Linked DNA regions of Struthio camelus. The protein of the gene in region 2 interacts with the protein of the main gene of each other region in a pairwise test. Links are inferred from orthologs where the notes say so. Each region holds a gene or a part of one and is shown on either strand. Other genes may lie near its edges.

Region 1 (9,676 bases), on a different chromosome or scaffold from region 2:
GGCCCAGCTGAACTGCTTCCTGCCCCCTGGGCTGCTGCCATTTTCCACCCTGAGGTCTGGGACACAAAGCGACTGGAAGCGGCAGCTGCGCTGGCTGGCTTTACACCATCTTCTTCTGAGGGACCTGCGAAGAAACAAAGAGAGCACAGAGAGCTGAGAAGGATGCCCCAAATCCACAGTGCACAAGCCATTTAAGGGAAAGAAACAAGCTCAGCCTTTCACAGAAGACGCTCACTGATGCGTTCAGGAGATTACAGAGAAGTGCATCAGCCTCAAAATCCTCTGGTCAAGGGCAGATCACATACCACCCCCACAGTCCTTATTTCCCTGCCAATGCTAGCAACTTTTCTTGCTAGAGCATAAGCTCTTTCGAAAAAACTCTGCTTCCTACAGCCTGCAGAACCAGATACTACCAGAGCTGCTACAGACCTGTGCAAAACCACCCCAAAGAAGCTGAGGATAATCCACATTCGGCACATCTGTAAGCCCGGACCAGAGTTCAGAGGCTCGCCAGGCAGCAGTGTGCCATATAGCAGGCAGCCATCCTGCACCCCGCCCTTCCCTACGTTCAGACCTGGTCCTGGCAGTGTTTAGCTCTCAAACTACCCCAACACAAGTTGCCAGCTTGTGAGTAGGAGCTCTCTGAGCACTTGTGAACACAAACGACTTGGTTATACAAGTGTTTCATAAACTCTTCTTGCTGTCATCCGAACTTCGGGGCTGCAATGCCAGTTCTGCTCAGACTTCTGGTTATTCAGTTTTGATCCAGAATCAGTCCCTTGAGTCCCTCTGTGTAGCATTATACATTCACACAAAACCAGAAGGTAATCCTTTATGCCCAACCCAAGAGTCTGCAAATCACACTATGACAAAGCAATGTTAAGATCGATCTGAATGAAGAATGGATGGAAATGTGTGAGTATGGAGGCATCAGATGTATTAAAGGGCATATGAAACTGCATTTACTGATGGCACTTAGATTAAGATCCCACCACACCTACCTGCAGCTTCTCAGGTTGGAAAACAAGGGACATCCTGAAACAAGGGATGTCACAAGATTCAAGCCATTAAGAGATGATCTTGAGAAGAATAGAGAATAGGAGCCTTAAGACACCCAGATAAAAAGACAAAGGCTAGTGAGTAAATCCTGATGACTCACAGAAGAGTGACAGGATGCAGAGACAAAAGATCACAGTTACCGTTAGCTCCCAAAGTATATAAAAAGGCAGACACAAAGCCAGCACATGACAGTCAAACTAAGAGTCCAAGAGACATCTGGAGGACTTAATAGCTGGCATCCCTTGTCTGCTGTGTCACTGCAAGGAATCCTGTCCAGACCACCTGGACACGTGCATCTTGGTGCCTGAATGCTGCACAGACCCCTTGGAGAAACCCACATTGGTGCTTGTGTGCAGGTGGATATGACAGCATGAGCGTGAATGAGCAAAGCCAATTTTATTCTAAAATAAAATCACTTTCTCCCTCCTAAGGTCTCACGATGCCGAGTGCTCACTTTACTACCAGCCAACAGGGAGCTATGAGCCTCCTTTTTGTCAAATAGAAAGGTTTAGGTCCCCAAGATGCAGATAACTAGTGGGTGGTATCCACTGGAGGATGCCATCTGCATGGAGAATTACACTCCTACCGGATGGGGGAAGATCCCAAGCTGCTTGGAGCGTCCCATCCATCACTCTTGCATGGTTCACTAGCTTAAAAAAGGAAAAAAAAAGGAGCAAAGACACACCCACGTGTCTGCATTTATAAGAAGAAACCAACACTTTCTCCAGGAATTCAATGAAAATTAGTTATGAGCTGCTCTATGAGATTTTTACAGAACATCCCCAGCTTGACTGCTGTTGGCAACAAACCGCTTTAGATTACCAACAGCAGAAGGCTCTGGTCACAAAAATCATTTTTTGCTGTAACTCATTCTCCACCTAATGTACCAGGGATGGTTATTTTCCTGTTCAAAACAGTAAATTACTTCACACAAACCTCTGGTATCAAACTTGACACCTACCTCTGCTGCTTCTTTTCATGGCAGGTTTCACGCCAACACTATTACTCCTCAGAGACCGTCAGCATTTCCACGCTCTGCTTGAACAAGTATGAGTTTCTGTCCTCCCCAGTATGGGGCTGTACACACTCATTAGATGCTCTGAACCCCAATTAGAGAACAGACACCTTTTTTTCCCCAAAGTCTTCTTTAACAAACACTGATCTGCAGATCTTCAGCCACCAGCAGAGCAGGCGACCAGTAGGAGGATTTTTGAAGGGAGTCAGCAGTTTGTTTTCCTTCCTTTTTAAAATATAGTGGCAGGAAATGGAAAAAAGAAGGAATCACAGCAGAAAAACACCGAGCGCCACCTCGTTTACATACCACCTTGCACTCACTGCAACACTGGCCAAGACTGGCTGAGACCAGAGAGGTAACAAAGGTCTATTATTCACTTCCTCGGAAGGCAGCGACGCTTTGAATTCTGGACCACACGCACCAACCCGCTCCCACACACAAGCAAAGGTACCCGACTGGCTGCATGCGAGCATGGTGTGCTCTGACATTCACTCCCCATCAGTAAGGAGAGCTATTTCCTGCACTGGGAATGCAGGTCCCAAGGAGTAAGGAGTGTATTTCAGCCTCTTCTTGTCACTGAATAGTGCTCTAGCTGGCAGCTGTTTGCAAGGATTGGGAAGCAAGGAACGCACACCATCAGTCACAGGAGAGAACTTCAGTATGCCAAAATTACAAGAGTATCCGAGTTAAGGCACAGAAGGGGGGAAAAAGACACAAGTTGCAGTTCCTTCCCCCTTTCATGAATTCAGTGACACACAAACATTAAAAGCTGAGAAATTCAATATGAAAGCTGCTCGTCTACCCCCTTGGGCTGCTGTGCACATTACACAGGCATACAGAGAGGTTTGGGGTGGGTTGCTAACACAGCTTTATGGATATGGCTGTGGCTTTGGATGCGTTATATATCCTACACCCACTTTGCTGGCATAGTGTTTGGGATGCTAGCAGCAGCAATTCAGCATTACCATCTACAGCATGCCAACGCAGCTCTCTCCTGACCCTGCTTGCCTGCTGCACCAGCTCCTTTACGCTGGCTCTGTTCTGGGGAGATTTGCAACCACTGAGAGAGTAGCTACATGTCTTTGTTAAAATCCCTCAGACTAACCCTTCACCTTTAATTTTAAAAAGAACCTGAAAGTCAAACCTACCCCAAAGAGCTATGTTTATTCAGCAAATAATCCTGGCTCCAATTAGAAATCCTAGTGGGCCACCTTGCCCCAAATGAAAACAAACCCCCTGCTACTTGAAGTGGATACTTAAAACAGTCCAGCCAACTGTCCTCCACTTTGGAGGTGATTTTTAACTTCGGCTCACATCCTGAATTTGGATTTGTTTGGTTTGATCTCTATGCCCCAGCACACCTGTCGTAATATCTGCCCACAAGGCTTTATTTAACTGGGGACTTGGACAAGTTAAAGAATTTGGTGCATTTCAGTTGTGTTTCCCAGCAGATTCGCCTCCTGCTCCTCGAGCTCCAGCAAAACATGGGGAGAAAGCTGGGGAGGGACAGGCAGGAACGAGGGGAATTAAAACATTTGAAAGACATTTAATTCTCAGACCTGTTCTACTTACCATAAAATTGAATTTTCTTTTCCTTTGAAAGTAAGGTCTTAAAAGTCAAAAATGGTTTCTAAAAACCCCACATCCCTTTTTAAGTTTCTGACCTGAAATTGCCAGTGCTAACAAGAAGTTACATGGTGAGCTAGTTTGTACCACAAGTGCAAGAGAGAAGGCCTCAGGAGTCCTTGGGCTTGGCTGGGGTTGCAGGCTCTGTTCAAAAATCACCAGAATGAGAGTCTTCAGAACACGGAGATGTTTCGGCACGTTGTTCAGACACAAGGGTGCCCAGGAGAGACTTGTTAGTGCCACTAACAGCATACGAGAGGTGGCACTGGAAGAGTTACAGACAAGCCCTTATAGATAACTGCTGGAAAAAGATTATACACTGATTAAAAGCGTATGTAAAATAGAAGAAAGCAGTGAGACTGTAATAAGGCAGGGACCCTCGGCAGAGGGGGTGCCTCACTGGAACAGTATTTGATATGCCCTGTGCCACTGCAATGCCAAATGGAAGAGCAGCTAGCCCCCTTGCAGCACCCCGTGACATCTAATCCCCCCCCCCCGGTCTGGACCCAGCGCAACAGGAGCTGCAAATATACTCATGCAACAGGTCCTCTGCAGGCTCTCTGCAAGGGATGAAGCTCCTGCTGGATAACTGAGGGGAACATACTGCAAATGAAAACGGGGCCTCAACTCACAAATCCCAAACCCTTCATTGCTCCTGGGCCATCTGGGCCCAATGGGACACAGCCTGACTCCACCCACAGAGCAAGACTGCCCAGCTAAGCTCACTGCTGCTCAGAGACTTTGCTCTCCAGCCATCTGTGGTCTGATTGCTGGCAAAAGAGGCTGTAATTGCTGCTTCAAGCCCCCAGTTTCCACCTGCGCTGGGGAATATTTTGCAAAAAGACACTCTGTCCTGACCAGGAACTCAGGAAGATGAGCAGGTGACACCATCAGGCCACAACGGTGTCCACAGGGAGAAATGGGAACCGTTTAACCAAGCAAAGATCAGGAGAGGCCAGTCCTTTCCCCAGCTCTGCCATCTTGGGGAAGCCATTTAATTGTTTCCAGTCACCTGACTTCTGTCGCTTTGGCTATCCTAAGCACTCCTTTCCGTACACACATGTCCAGCGCCGAGTAGCACAACAGCTAGCAGCGACCCAGAAGATGGGGAAGGATAGAGCAAAATGGTAGAGGGGAGGTCGCAGTCGGGGTCAGACCTAGACACAGTCCTGCTTTCTTGTAGCCTTCGCTGGTAATCACAGCACAAGGTGGCTGGGTTGGCAGCCAAAAGAACAGAAGAAATAAAACCTGTCCACCCAAAACCTGGATTCCCTCCATTCAAAACAAATTTCAAGAAAATTCCCTTTGGAGGAGGAAATAAAGAGTGTAACTGGAGCAGAACAAAGCATTTGCCTATCAACTAGGCAGAGCACTTATTTCAGGCACAAATGAATAGGAATGCTGAGGCAAAGGGAACAGGGTAGGTACACTTGAATATAAGAACAGTTGCCTGGCATCAAACCAAACCCAGCATCCTGCTCACTTGCTCCAGGGTCCTTCCAGGGCACTGAAATAGAAGATTATCGACTTGGAGGGAGATTATTTACTCATGGGAGTGCAAACCTGGCAAAATCTGGAGGGCTTCTCCATTTTCGCCAAAGCTTCAGCTAGTAACAAGAAAGCTTTTATTTATTTATTTTCTTTTTGCAGGTAGAAAGAAAATCTCCTACCCAGTCTCAGGAAGCCAATTCTCTCAACAGACCAGCACCCATGTCATTTAGAGAAGTTCCCTACTGGACCATGCAGCTGGATTCCAAAATACTATATGAGAAGTCAAAAGTCAAGTCCCTGCCAATGGGAGCTGGTGATTCATTCAATTCACAGCCAGTCCTGCCACTTTGCCACATAACACACCCATTAGAAGTTAAAGATGACCTTAGAAGATTTAAATAAAACACCACACGGCACAAACAGATTTACATCAACAAACTCTTACCACTTCCTTGCTTAAATATACTATCTCCTTGTTTAAACACCAGAAAGCACTTACAGTTACCCACAGACAATTTGCTATTTCCAAGATCCTTTTGCAGACCTACCCTCAGCTTCGGAGGTAAATCAGGAGTTGTCCAGGCAGTAACGAACACCCACACAAACATGAGAGACCATGGGCTGGAAGCAAAGAAGGAACTTAGAGTTTGATGCAAGGAGAACTATGTCCTTGCTCTCTAGGCCGTATAACCATAGCACAATTCATTAAGCACAATAAAGCTAAGGCAGCAGACTTTCAAGAGCACTATGGGATGATTCCTCGAGACAGAGAGGAGCTGCCCTGAGAGCCCAGAGCTTCCAAAAGACGGAGACCCCACTCCCAGCTGCCTGCTCCTGCTATGCACTTTGTATGAGCTCTGCTGCCTGTCAGATCCCTCTGCAGGAATAATCAAATCACTAACCCAGCAGAAAACGAAACCAGGGGAAAACGCAGATAGCTTTCTGTTGGGATAGCAAGTTGAAACGGCTCTGCAGGACTGGCAGGAGGACTTTGCCCACCCAGCAGTGGAGAACGCCTTGCAGAACCAGAGGTGCAGAGGAGTTTGGCAGCACTACATCTCATCAACGTTCGCTTCTGCTGTTTAGGTTTGTAATTCACCCCAGACCCTCACTGTCCAAGGCTGGTACTCAAACCCAGCTCTCCAGCAAAAAGGCTGTCGTCTACTGTCCAGGTAGACAAAAGGAAGCCTGTTTAAAGTAATCCAAACCTTCTGCTTGTTAGGCAACTGAGTCACGGAGCAACTACATGATTAAGCCAGGGTTTAAAAGCAGTCCTAGCACAGTCAAGACTCGGTCACGGGAGGCTGAAGTCTGCGGCAAGCCCCTTTCTTTCCCTTCCTTTCCCAATGTGATAAGGACAGGTCTGCAGAGGTTTCTCCGAGCCCTCTCAGAGCCAGGAGCAGAAGAGCTGGTTTCGCAGCAGCGCGCTCTTCCTCCCAAAGGGCCCCCGCGCCGAGGGCAGCCCCAGCGCAGCCACCGCACGCCGCGAAAAGCAAACCGGCGTCTCGGCCGCAGCGCGGCCGGGCCCGCACCCGGCCGGGCCGCCCGGCGGCGAACGGCGCCGGTTCGAGGCCCCGCTGGGGCGCCGCGGCCGACAGACCTGGAGCGGCTCCCCCGCCACGGGCGCCGGCCCGGCCCGCGGCGGCTCGGCCAGGAGCAGGGGTGGCCCGGGGGCTGCGGCCCGGCCGGCACCCAAACGCCTTAACGACCCGCCGCCCCCGGCCGTGCCCGGGCTCGCTCCGGCACTGCCGCCGCGCCAGGCCCCGGCCCCGACCGCCCCGGCACCGACCCCGGAGCCGGCAAGGCGCCGGACCCCACCGCCGCCCCGGCCCGGCCGAGCGGAGCGGAGCGGAGCGGAGCGGAGCGGAGCTGGGCTGATCCCCGGCGCGCAGCCGCCCCCGCCCCCGCCCCCCCCGCAGGCCCGGGCCGGCCGAGCCCCTCACCGTGACTCCCGGCGGCGGCGGCGGCGGTTGCTCGCGGGGCAGCCACTTCCCGGCCGACAGCGGCGGGGCGGCAGCGCGCATGCGCCGCGCGCGGCCGCCTGGGAGATGTAGTGCGGGGGGAGGGGCGCGGGTGGGGGGTGTGTGTTTGTGTGTGGTCGGTGTGTGCATGCATGTGTGTGCGTGTGCATCCGTGTGTGTGTGTGCATGTGTGTGCGTGTGTGCACGTCTGTGTGTGTGTGTGTGCACGTCTGTGTGTGTGTGTGTGTGTGTGTGTGTGCACATATGCGCGTGTATGTGTGGGTGGGTGTGCGTGCGGGTGGGTGTGCATGCGTGTGAGTGTGTGTGCACGTCTGTGTGCACGTCTGTGTGTGTGCATGCGTGTGTGTGCACATGTGTGCGTGCATGTGTGTGTGTGTGTATGCACGTCTGTGTGTGCGTGCATGCATGTGTGTGCATATGTGTGCACGTCTGTGTGCACGTGTGTGCATGCATGTGTGCATGTGCATGCGTGTGTGTGCACATGGGTGTGAGCATGTGTGTGCACATGTGTGAGCGTGCATGTGTGCACGTGTGTGTGTGTGTGTGTGTGTGTGCGCGCACATGCCTGCGTGTGCGTGCGTGCACGCAGAGGGCTGGAGGGCCGGAGACAAGCGCGGGGTGCGAGCGAGGCGGCTGGGGACGAGGCAGGCGCGGGGGCGCGGCAGCAGGCCCGGCAGTGGCGTGCGCCGCTGCCCTGCTGCCCCGGTGCGTGGCCGGAAGGCGGCCGACCGCCACGGAGCCCAGCGCCCTGCCGGCGACGCAGCCCCCTCGGGCCCGCGGGGCCAGGGCCCTCTCCGCCGGCGGCAGGCTACGTGGCCCGCGGCGGCCTGTCGTGGCCTGTGGAGGCCCATGATGGCCTGCTGTGGCGGCCCATGGCAGCCTGTGGCGGCCTGTGGAGGCCCGTGGCGGCCTGTTGTGGCCTGTGGAGGCTCATGACAGCCTGTCGCAGCCTGTGGAGGCCCATGGTGGCCCGTGGCAGCCTGTCGTGGCCCATGGCGGCCTGTCACGGCCCGTGGTGGCCCGTGGCAGCCTATTGTGGCCTGTGGAGGCCCATGGTGGCCCGTGGCGGCCTGTTACGGCCCATGGTGGCCTGTCGTGGCCCATGGTGGCCCGTGGTGGCCTGTGGAGGCCCATGGCGGCCTGTCGCGGCCTGTCGCGGCCCGTGGGGGTGGCCCGAGGTCTCCTTGTGCAGCGCCGGCCGCCCAGCTGGCCCTGGTGTCACTCCTGTTCCCCTCTGCTCGAGGAGGACGCCTCCGCTCCTCCGCCTCGGTCCTTAGCCCAAGAGCCTCCAGCTCTGCCTCTCCTCCCGCCCGCGAGAGCCGCCCGCCTCTCGCCCTCAGCCCCGGGCGGGTTTTCTTTGTGTCTCTCCCCTTGCTTACACCTCCTAAAGAGGGAGGATCGGAGGCAGGCCTTGTACTGTGTTTGCAGAGAGCGTCTGGAGAAAAGCGCCTTTACCCCGTAAAACGGCGTGGGCGATGCGATACCGCTAAAGCGGGGTGACCGCAACAGCCTGCCTTCCTGGTTGCCTCTGCGTAACCAGGCCAGCGCTGGCGGTCTGGTGCGTCCGTGCGGGAGACGGCAGGAGTTCTCCCAAACTAGAAAGTGTTCTTTGGCTGTCAATAATTTAGGGTCCCTACGAAGATTTATATATACAGATTAATCCTGAATGTGTGTGAAATTTTCCGCATCGCTTCGTTGGGTGACGCTCTGAATATGAGACAGGCCTCATGGGACTGAACGAGAAGCTTCACAACCGGCATCCAGGCAGCGCTAATCATTGCGCTTGTGCCTGCAGGTGGTGCAGGCAGGATTATGAAAGCAACAGAAAAAGGGAGAAGCACCTGCTGGATTAAAGGGCCTTTTTGTGTTTCAGTGTAAAGGTGAGCAGCAAAGAGAGAACGAGATTTGTGCCCTTCAAAGACCTGGAAACGGGGAGAGAAGCCCAGGGAGGTTGTCAGTGCTCTCCGCTGAGTGTTCTGGGCCGAGCTAAATCAAGGCCTTTTGCAGGGACAATCCAGGATTAGTAAGAAAGAGCAGGAGATAAAGTGACCTCACTCTTCCTTACTCTTGAGACCTTGAAGATTTTTGTTTTGATGCCTTTTGTTGAAATCTTTTTGTCATATAGAACAAGAGCGAGATTGGTGCTGTTGCTTAGCAATTGATACGTAGCTCTAGCTCTCTTCTGTGCCTTGGAGCAGCTTTGCTTTCTCTGTTCTCCCGCCCCTTTGGATTTAGCGAGGGTCAGGTTTTGATCTCAGTGATGGGAAAGGTGTACAGGGCTGGGAAAGGTTTGAAATGCTTTGTGGATTTGCCAAGTATTGAACGCACACCTGCAGGATTGCAAAACAATTGGAGAAGTTTGGGAGGCTGTCAAAACTTTCAACTTCCGCTCAGATCTCATGGAGGAGCATATAAATCTGAAGCTGAGTAGCCTGGCAGCTGCTTTCTTCTGTTTCTTGTATCTCTTATCTGCTGGTTGGGTTTCTGCAAAGCAAATCGCACT
Region 2 (9,407 bases):
AGCGCAGCCCCAGCTGCTGCTTCTGCCGCCGGCCGTTGTCCTGCCGGAGCGCCGGGATCAGGGGGGCTGGGGCGGGGGGAGCCCACCGCCCCGGCCCGGCCCCACCAGCCCCTCTGCCTTGGGGTTTGCCGGGTGACTTTCGGGCGCTGCCATTCGGGAGGGAATTCCTCTCCCGAGCCCGTTCCCAGCCCTGGAGCCTGCGTGCGCTGCTCGGGGGCCGTGCAGCCGGGGCTGGGGAAATCCTGAGCCCGGGGCCAGCGGGACGAGGTGCGAGGAGCCGTCCGGGCTCCCGCTCCCAGGGCGCTGGGGGCCGGCGCGCAGGCGCCCGGCTGCAGCACGGGGCTCACGCACCGGCACCGGCGCGATGCAGCCCCCAGCGCGGGGTCGGCTGGGGGGGGATGCAGGGCCCCCGGGGGCTGGGCCGTGCCCTGGCTCCCACCTCGATGGTCCGGCAGATCTCCTCCATTTGGGTGATGATGGCCTGGATGCGGTCGTTCCCCGCCACCAGCATGGCGATGCCGTCGCTGAGCTCGCTCTGGGGGCGAGACGGGTGTGAGGGCCGGCGGGGTGGGTGCCCCCCCCCCCAGCCCCACGCCGACCCGCCAGGGCCACCCACCTTCTGGCGCTGGTAGATGGCGGGCAGCGGCGCCACCTCGCAGTCCTTGTGCGCCCCGAAGACCTTGCAGAGGGAGCAGGTGGGCACCTCGCAGCGCAGGCAGTAGATGTTGATCCGCTCGTCCTCGTGCTCCTCGCACATGAGGTGCTGCTCCGCCTTGGCGTGCAGGGGCCTGCGGGGGGGCCGGGCGCCCATGCCCACCACGCGCCCCGGCACCCCGACGCCCACCAGCCCCGCGGCCCCGCAGGGGCCCTGCCACCCTCCCTCCCCTCCCCTGGCTCTAGGCCTGCGGCCCCCCCACGGGCTCCCTTAGATCCACGGGGCTCGGTTACCCCCGTGGGCTCCCCCCGTGGGCTCCCCTGGTGCCACCCCTGGCTCCCCCGTGGGCACCCTTAGATCCACGGGGCTCGGTTACCCCCGTGGGCTCCCCCCGTGGGCTCCCCTGGTGCCACCCCTGGCTCCCCCGTGGGCACCCTTAGATCCACGGGGCTCGGTCACCCCCGTGGGCTCCCCCCGTGGGCTCCCCCGGTGCCACCCCAGGCTCCCCCGTGGGCTCCCTTAGATCCACAGGGCTCGGTCACCCTGGGCTCCCCCCGTGGGCTTCCCCGGTGCCACCCCTGGCTCCCCCGTGGGCACCCTTAGATCCACGGGGCTCGGTCACCCCCGTGGGCTCCCCCCGTGGGCTCCCCCGGTGCCACCCCAGGCTCCCCCGTGGGCTCCCTTAGATCCACAGGGCTCGGTCACCCTGGGCTCCCCCCGTGGGCTTCCCCGGTGCCACCCCAGGCTCCCCCGTGGGCACCCTTAGATTCACGGGGCTCGGTCACCCCCGTGGGCTCCCCCCGTGGGCTCCCCTGGTGCCACCCCAGGCTCCCCCGTGGGCACCCTTAGATCCACAGGGCTCGGTCACCCTGGGCTCCCCCCGTGGGCTTCCCCGGTGCCACCCCAGGCTCCCCCGTGGGCACCCTTAGATCCACGGGGCTCGGTTACCCCCGTGGGCTCCCCCCATGGGCTCCCCCGGTGCCACCCCAGGCTCCCCCGTGGGCACCCTTAGATCCACAGGGCTCGGTTACCCCAGGATCCCCCAGTGGGCTCCCCCTGTGAGCTCCCCAGGTGCCACCCCTGGCTCCCCCCCGTGGGCGCCCTCAGATCCACGGGGCTCGGTCACCCCCGTGGGCTCCCCCCATGGGCTCCCCCGGTGCCACCCCAGGCTCCCCCGTGGGCTCCCTTAGATCCACGGGGCTCGGTTACCCCCGTGGGCTCCCCCCGTGGGCTCCCCTGGTGGCATCCCAGGCTCCCCCGTGGGCACCCTAAGATCCACGGGGCTCGGTCACCCCCGTGGGCTCCCCCCGTGGGCTCCCCCGGTGCCACCCCCGGCTGCCCCAGTGGGCTCCCCCGTGGGCTCCCCCGTGGGCTCCCCCGTGGGCTCCCTTAGATCCACGGGGCTCGGTCACCCCCGTGGGCTCCCCCCGTGGGCTCCTCCGGTGCCACCCCAGGCTCCCCCGTGGGCACCCTTAGATCCACGGGGCTCGGTCACCCCCGTGGGCTCCCCCGTGGGCTCCCCGGGGCCGGCCGCACCTGGCCGACTCCTGCTTGTAGATGTCGATGATGTTCTCCACGAGCAGGTTGCGCTGCAGCCCGTACACCCCGTGCCGGTCCAGCACCACCTCGTGGCGGCACGACGGGCACCGGAACCGGCCCCCCGACGGCACCGCGCTGGAGCCCCGCGACTGCCACAGCGGGTTGGACGCCTGGGGAGGGGGGACGGGGGGGGTCACAGGCCCCCCGAGGCACACGGGACCCCCCCCCCGGGGCACCGGCAGCCCCTCTCCCCCGGCCGCCCCGGGACGGGAGCTGGAGCGGGGGGAGCGGGCAGCCCTGCGCCCCGCCGCCGCCGGCCGACACGGGCTCCGGCCCCCTTCCCGGCCGGTCAGGGTCACACTGCCCCCCAACCCCGCCGGGGGGTCGGGGTCTGCTCCGGCCCCCTTCCCGGCCGGTCAGGGTCTCACTGCCCCCCCCGCCGGTGGTCGGGGTCTCACTGCCCCCCACCTCCCGCCGGTGGGTCGGGGTCTTGCTAACCCCCACCTCCGCCGGTGGGTCGGGGTCTGCTCCGGCCCCCTTCCCAGCCGGTCAGGGTCACACTGCCCCCCACCTCCCGCCAGTGGGTCGGGGTCTCACTGCCCCCCAACCCCGCCGGGGGGTCGGGGTCTGCTCCGGCCCCCTTCCCGGCCGGTCAGGGTCACACTGCCCCCCACCTCCCGCCGGGGGGTCGGGGTCTCACTGCCCCCCAACCCCGCCGGGGGGTCGGGGTCTGCTCCGGCCCCCTTCCCAGCCGGTCAGGGTCACACTGCCCCCCACCTCCCGCCGGGGGGTCGGGGTCTCACTGCCCCCCAACCCCGCCGGGGGGTCGGGGTCTGCTCCGGCCCCCTTCCCGGCCGGTCAGGGTCACACTGCCCCCCACCTCCCGCCAGTGGGTCGGGGTCTCACTGCCCCCCAACCCCGCCGGGGGGTCGGGGTCTGCTCCGGCCCCCTTCCCGGCCGGTCAGGGTCACACTGCCCCCCACCTCCCGCCAGTGGGTCGGGGTCTCACTGCCCCCCAACCCCGCCGGGGGGTCGGGGTCTGCTCCGGCCCCCTTCCCGGCCGGTCAGGGTCACACTGCCCCCCACCTCCCGCCAGTGGGTCGGGGTCTCACTGCCCCCCAACCCCGCCGGGGGGTCGGGGTCTGCTCCGGCCCCCTTCCCAGCCGGTCAGGGTCACACTGCCCCCCACCTCCCGCCGGGGGGTCGGGGTCTCACTGCCCCCCAACCCCGCCGGGGGGTCGGGGTCTGCTCCGGCCCCCTTCCCAGCCGGTCAGGGTCACACTGCCCCCCACCTCCCGCCGGTGGGTCGGGGTCTCACTGCCCCCCAACCCCGCCGGGGGGTCGGGGTCTGCTCCGGCCCCCTTCCCAGCCGGTCAGGGTCACACTGCCCCCCACCTCCCGCCAGTGGGTCGGGGTCTCACTGCCCCCCAACCCCGCCGGGGGGTCGGGGTCTGCTCCGGCCCCCTTCCCAGCCGGTCAGGGTCACACTGCCCCCCACCTCCCGCCGGTGGGTCGGGGTCTCACTGCCCCCCAACCCCGCCGGGGGGTCGGGGTCTGCTCCGGCCCCCTTCCCAGCCGGTCAGGGTCACACTGTCCCCCACCTCCCGCCGGGGGGTCGGGGTCTCACTGCCCCCCCCTGCCGGTGGGTCGGGGTCTCACTGCCCCCCAACCCCGCCGGTGGGTCGCGGTCGGCTCCGGCCCCCTTCCCGGCCGCCCCGCACCTGGAAGACGTCGTTGGCGCACTTGCGGCAGAGGTTGTGCTGGCAGGGCAGGATGACCACGGGCTTGGTGAACATCTCCAGGCAGATGGGGCAGATGAGCTGCTTCTCCAGGCTCTCCATGCTCCGCGCCTCCGCCAGCAGCGGCTTCAGCCCCACCGCGAAGTTCATCGCCGCGGTGCCCTCCTCGGCCCGGCCCGGCCCGGCCCGCTCCCGGCTCCTCTCCGGCTCCGCTCCGGTTCCGCTCCGGCCCCGCTCCCGGCTCCGCTCCGGCCCCGCTCCGGTTCCGCTCCGGTTCCGCTCCGGCCCCGCTCCGGCCCCGCTCCCGGCTCCGCTCCCGGCCCCGCTCCGGTTCCGCTCCGGCCCCGCTCCCGGCTCCGGCTCTGCTCCCGGCTCCGCTCCGGCCCCGCTCCTGCCCCGCTCCGGTTCCGCTCCGGCCCCGCTCCGGCCCCGCTCCGGCCCCGCTCCCGGCTCCGCTCCCGGCCCCGCTCCGGTTCCGCTCCGGCCCCGCTCCGGCCCCGCTCCGGCCCCGCTCCCGGCTCCGCTCCCGGCCCCGCTCCGGCCCCGCTCCCGGCTCCGGCTCTGCTCCCGGCTCCGCTCCGGTTCCGCTCCGGCCCCGCTCCCGGCTCCGGCTCTGCTCCCGGCCCCGCTCCGGTTCCGCTCCGGCCCCGCTCCCGGCTCCGGCTCTGCTCCCGGCTCCGCTCCGGTTCCGCTGTCCCACGCTCGCCCCGCTGCCGGCCCCGCTCTCGCTCCGGCCCCGCTGCCCCACGCTCGCCCCGCTGCCGGCCCCGCTCTCACTCCGGCCCCGCTGCCCCACGCTCGCCCCGCTGCGCCCGCGCTAATTTTAGCCGCCCGGGGCCTGCGCGGGGCCGCGGCAGCTGTCAGCGGCGTCGGGTGACACTGAGTCACGGCGCCCGGAGGGGGCCGCAACGCCCCCCGGGGCTACGCGCCCGGCCCCGCTCCCCTGCCCCGGCTGCCCTCCGTGGCCGGCCCTCGGCAGGTCCCCCTGGCCCCCCTCAGCCCCATGCCCCGTCCCCCCGGGACCACCCCATCCCGGTCCCCCTGGCCCCGCACTCCGTCCCCCCCGGGACCACCCCATCCCGGCCCCCCCAGCCCCGCACCCCATCACCCCCGGGACCATGCCATCCCGGTCCCCCTGGCCCCGCACTCCGTCCCCCCCAGGACCACCCCATCCCGGCCCCCCAGCCCTGTCTCTGCCTCTGCTCCGGATCCCGGCCAGCTGCGGGGGCACAGCCCCACGGGGCCAGCGGCAGCCCCTGGCCTGAAGGCAAGGACACCACCACCCCCTGCCAGTCCCTTCCCCAGCCCACGCAGCACAGCAGGGGACCATGCCGGGCGCCATTCCCAGGTGCCATCCCCGCTCCCAATCCCAGGACCCAGGGCTGCCTCCCCCCTCGCAGCCGGCCTCGAGCGCGCGGTGGGGCAGACCCCCCCTGTGCTGCCTGCACTGCTCCCCTGGGACAGGCCAGCTGCTCCCTGGGGACCCTCAGGGCAGCAGGGCTCCCCTGCAGCCCCCCCCCACAGGAACAAAGACGGGGCCGGGGCCGGGGCCCCTGCCCGGGCCGAGGCAGCAGGGTGGGGAGGAGGCTCCAGCCAGGCTGGCACAGGGTCAGCAGAGCTCAGCCGCCCGCCAGGCCCAGGAGGAACAAAGCTGCCTGGCGGCCAGGTTCTTGCCCAACTCGGGGAGGGTACATGCCCTTCCCGGGAGATAACGGAGCTGGGAGCAGGCTCGGGTCCCGTGAGCCCTGGCCAGAGCCAGCCCCCCCCAAGCACCGACATGGAAAAACGCCCGCCAACACTGGTGCCAGGGACACCCCCGTCCCGCACCGCTTGCCCTGACACTCCGGCTATATTTAGTGGGTGAGGCAGCGCGCACAGCTGCAGGCTGGGAGACAAGGGCCAGGGCAGCCCGCTCGCCCCTTCTCCCAGCCTGGCACAGGGCAGGGACCATCCGGGACACGCACGCGGAGCCATCAGCTGGCACACGCGCTGCCAGCGGTGGAAGCGGAGCCGGGGGGGCCGAGCTGTTTCTGGCAGGCGCAGAGCAGGCCTGGCCCTTGCGCAGGGGCACGCCGCACCGCTGCGGGCGCTGCCTCAGCCCCGGCGCGCCAGCCTGGCACCCCAGCGCCTCATCCAGCGGCACGGGGACAGATCCAGGCCGCACAGGGCTGTAGGGCCACAGTCTGCCTCCCGCCCCGGGCAGGAGGGGGAAGAGGGCGGCCGCGGCACAGCGTGTCGGCAGCAGGAGGAAGGACAAGTCCCTTCGCGCACCGGTGGGTGCTGGAGCTCCCAGCGCCCCCGTTAGCCCAGCAGGACCAGGGTGCCCCAGCCTGGCTCCGGCTGCCCTGGGACTGCCCTGCCCAGCCCAGCCGCAGGGCCCGGGAAAGGCCTGGAGCCCTGCTGGGCAGCACCCTCGGGAGGGCGCGGAGCTCTCCCCGGAAGCTGACAGGAGGCAGAACAACTTTCACTCCTGTCGCCAACTGTCCCCTCTGGCAGCACTCGGGCTGCGACCCACCGACCCTTCCTCGGCCCGCCACCCCTATGGTACGGCCACGGCTCTCAGCCAGAGCAGGGCAGAGCCAGGGAAGGGCACGTCCCACCGCCTGAGAGCGTTCAGGCGGCTCTTGCCGGGGTAGAGACCACACAGAAACATGTTCCCCTCCCATCATCCTTTAATGGTGCCCATAAAACCTATACAAACCCAAGGAAAGTGCCTGTGCCTGGGCCCAGCCCTGCAGGGAGCCTGCCAGCAACAGGCAGAAGGGGGTGCAGCCGGCGCCCCGCGACCACGGGGGCACAGAGCAAGGAGGTACAGAAGGCCGCACCCCAGCCCCGCGAGCGGCGTTTGGCACCCAGCACCCGTAAGGAGGGTCCCCACGTGGGCAGGTAGCGGGCTCAGCCCAGCCCCAGGGATTACAGTGCTAATGGTCTCTAATACCCTCGGCCGCTTCCTGCAGGCTGCGGAGCCTGGGCCAGGCGGCCTCCGCGCGCTGCTGGGCCCCAAGGAAAGCAACCGGCTCTGGCAACGGGCTGCCGCCACAGCCGCAAGCAGCGGCCCCCAGTCAAGCCAGAGCCAGCAGGGCAGCAAGGGGCCGAGGCGCACACGGGCCGGGGCGCCCGGTGCTGCTGGTGAGCGGCCAGGCCACGCACCGGGCTGGTCCCAGCAGGGAGCCAGTCCCGGCCTCTCCAGTCTTAGTCCAGTCACAGTGGATCCAGTCTGCCTTCAGCGGGGCCTCACCTGAGAGCTAGCGCCCAGGGCTGGGCTGGGACACAGCAGCAGAAGAGGCACTGCGGATGGGGCACAGCAGCAAGGGGCTCCAGGCCACCTCTGTTGCCAGTGCGGGGATGCAGGGTATCTCTGTGGAGCTCGAACAGGGGCACAAGAGCCTCTGCACTGATGCTGGCTAATTTAACCTGAGATTCTAGCCACAGTGAGGCTGGACAGCCACCCTGGGTGGCACGACAGGGGTCCTGGAGAGGGACAGTCCCAAAGGGGGATCCCTGCCCAGAGTCCTGGGGCTGTTGGCGGGGCTGAGGCCAGCCTCATGCGTCCGTCTTGGTGCTGACACCCGGCGACGGCTCTGCTCCAGCAGGTGGGGGCTGGGCCACAATAGGTGTCTGCACATCTGGAAAAGAAGACCTGCAGGTCAGCGGCTAAATCCCATGCTGCGGTGCCAGGAAACAGCTGCTTGTGACATCCCAGCACCCTCATTCAGCCTCCCACGAACCACAGCTCTCCAGCCCCATCTGACAAGGGCCCACACCTCCAGCCAGCGCGCAGCCACTCCAGCAGTGCCCCCTACCCCAGGGAAGCCTGCAGAGATGACCAGGATCACTCCAAATCCCAGAGTATTTCAGATTGTAGATACCAGCACAGCCACTGCCTACCAGCACTGGGAATGGGACCAGCCTAGAGCACGGCTGCTCTCCCCACGCTCCTTCCCCAAGGATTTCTAGATCCCAGAGCTGTGCCTTCAGGGAGACCTTTCCCAAGGGAAATCAAGGAAGCACAAGATATTCTCCATGAACCCTGCGCAAGAGTTCCCTCTACCAGCTGCCACCAGCCAAGACCCAAGCTGGAAACACCAAGCGTCAGCCCTTGAGCAGCAGATGATGCTAAGTCAGACCCTACTGTTTAACAAGAGCCCGGTCTCCCCAGACAAGACCAGACCTCCCCCAGAAACCCCGTGCAGCAGGAGCAAGCCAGGCACTCCCAGACGCAGGAGCTGGGCACACAAAAGGGAACAGAGACTGCCTAACTCACTGTTGTCCTCCGCACGGATCTGCGCCTCCAGGTCTTCGGGGTTGACATACTTGTAGGACTCGTCCTCCTCAGGTGGTCGGCACCTCCCGCAGCAGAAGCAGCAGCAGCAGCAGCAGCAACAGCAGGTGATGATACCACAGCACAGACCCAGGGCCTGCGCGGGGGCAGGCGCGCTGTGAGACACCTGAGCCCGCCGGCAGCCCAGGCCCCGCTGCGGCCCCCCGGCCCCAGGCTGCCCTGCCCGGCAGCGGCCCCCGAGCCCTGCGGCGTGGGGCCCGGCAGCGGCAGGCGCGCGGTGGCGGGGCAGGGCTCACCTTGAACCACCACTTGGACATGAGGAAGTAGTACTTGACGCTGTCCTCGCCGAACTGCTCGGCCACGTAGAGCCCCATGGAGCCGTACTCGGCGTAGACGCGCCGCTTGTCCTCGTCGCTCAGCGTGGCGTGGGCGCTGTTGATCTCCTTGAAGCGCTCGGCCGCCGCCGGGTCGTCGGGGTTCTTGTCCGGGTGGTACTTGAGGGCCAGCTTCCTGCGGGGCACCGCGGCTGGCAGGGCACGGCACCGGCCCCCCGGCCCGGCCCGGCCCCCCGCCAGCCCCCACCAGGCCCCGTCCCCCCGCCGGCCCCCGGCCCGACCCCCCGCCAGCCCCCACCAGGCCCCGTCCCCCCGCCAGCCCCCACCAGGCCCCGTCCCCCCGCCGCCCCCCGGCCCGACCCCCCGCCAGCCCCCACCAGGCCCCGTCCCCCCGCCGCCCCCCGGCCCGACCCCCCGCCAGCCCCCACCAGGCCCCGGCCCCCCGCCGCCCCCCGGCCCGGCCCCCCGCCAGCCCCCACCAGGCCCCGGCCCCCCGCTGCCCCCCGGCCCGGTCCCCCGCCAGCCCCCACCAGGCCCCGTCCCCCCGCCGACCCCCGGCCCGGCCCCCCGCCAGCCCCCGCCAGGCCCCGACCCGGCCCCCCGCCGCCGCCGCCCCCCGGCCCGGCCCGGCCCGGCCCAGCTCGCCCCGTCCCGGCCCTCCCCGTACCGGTAGGCCTTCTTGATCTCCTCGGGGGAGGCGCCCTTCTCCAGGCCCAGGACATGATAGAGGCTCTCCCCGGCCCGCGACAGCTTCCGCTGCGGCCGGCTGGGCTCCGCCATCCCGCCTGCGGCGACGAGCACCGGCGGCGCGTCACGGCCCGGCCCGGCGCCCCTCACCGCCGCCGCCGCCGCCGCCG

What was found. The genes of interacting proteins can lie anywhere in the genome.
Region 1: the proteins of TRIM54 (region 2) and DTX2 interact in binary tests that used the Homo sapiens proteins (3 or more experiments, as listed by UniProt). The two-hybrid records come from large-scale screens. The link is inferred for Struthio camelus from reciprocal best matches to the Homo sapiens genes TRIM54 and DTX2.

Annotation. Positions count from the first base shown.
Region 1 is NC_090957.1:14,470,661-14,480,336, forward strand, and holds the start of DTX2 (probable E3 ubiquitin-protein ligase DTX2), read right to left. Parts: upstream 4,095-9,676; 5' UTR 2,040-4,094; coding exon 2,021-2,039; intron 125-2,020; coding exon 1-124. UniProt on the Homo sapiens protein: Regulator of Notch signaling, a signaling pathway involved in cell-cell communications that regulates a broad spectrum of cell-fate determinations.
Region 2 is NC_090944.1:1,035,413-1,044,819, forward strand, and holds the start of TRIM54 (tripartite motif-containing protein 54), read right to left. Parts: upstream 4,166-9,407; 5' UTR 4,084-4,165; coding exon 3,916-4,083; intron 2,365-3,915; coding exon 2,192-2,364; intron 789-2,191; coding exon 440-788; intron 41-439; coding exon 1-40. Other genes in the region: DNAJC5G (dnaJ homolog subfamily C member 5G), read right to left, coding at 7,477-7,559, 8,198-8,351, 8,512-8,725, 9,218-9,330. UniProt on the Homo sapiens protein: May bind and stabilize microtubules during myotubes formation.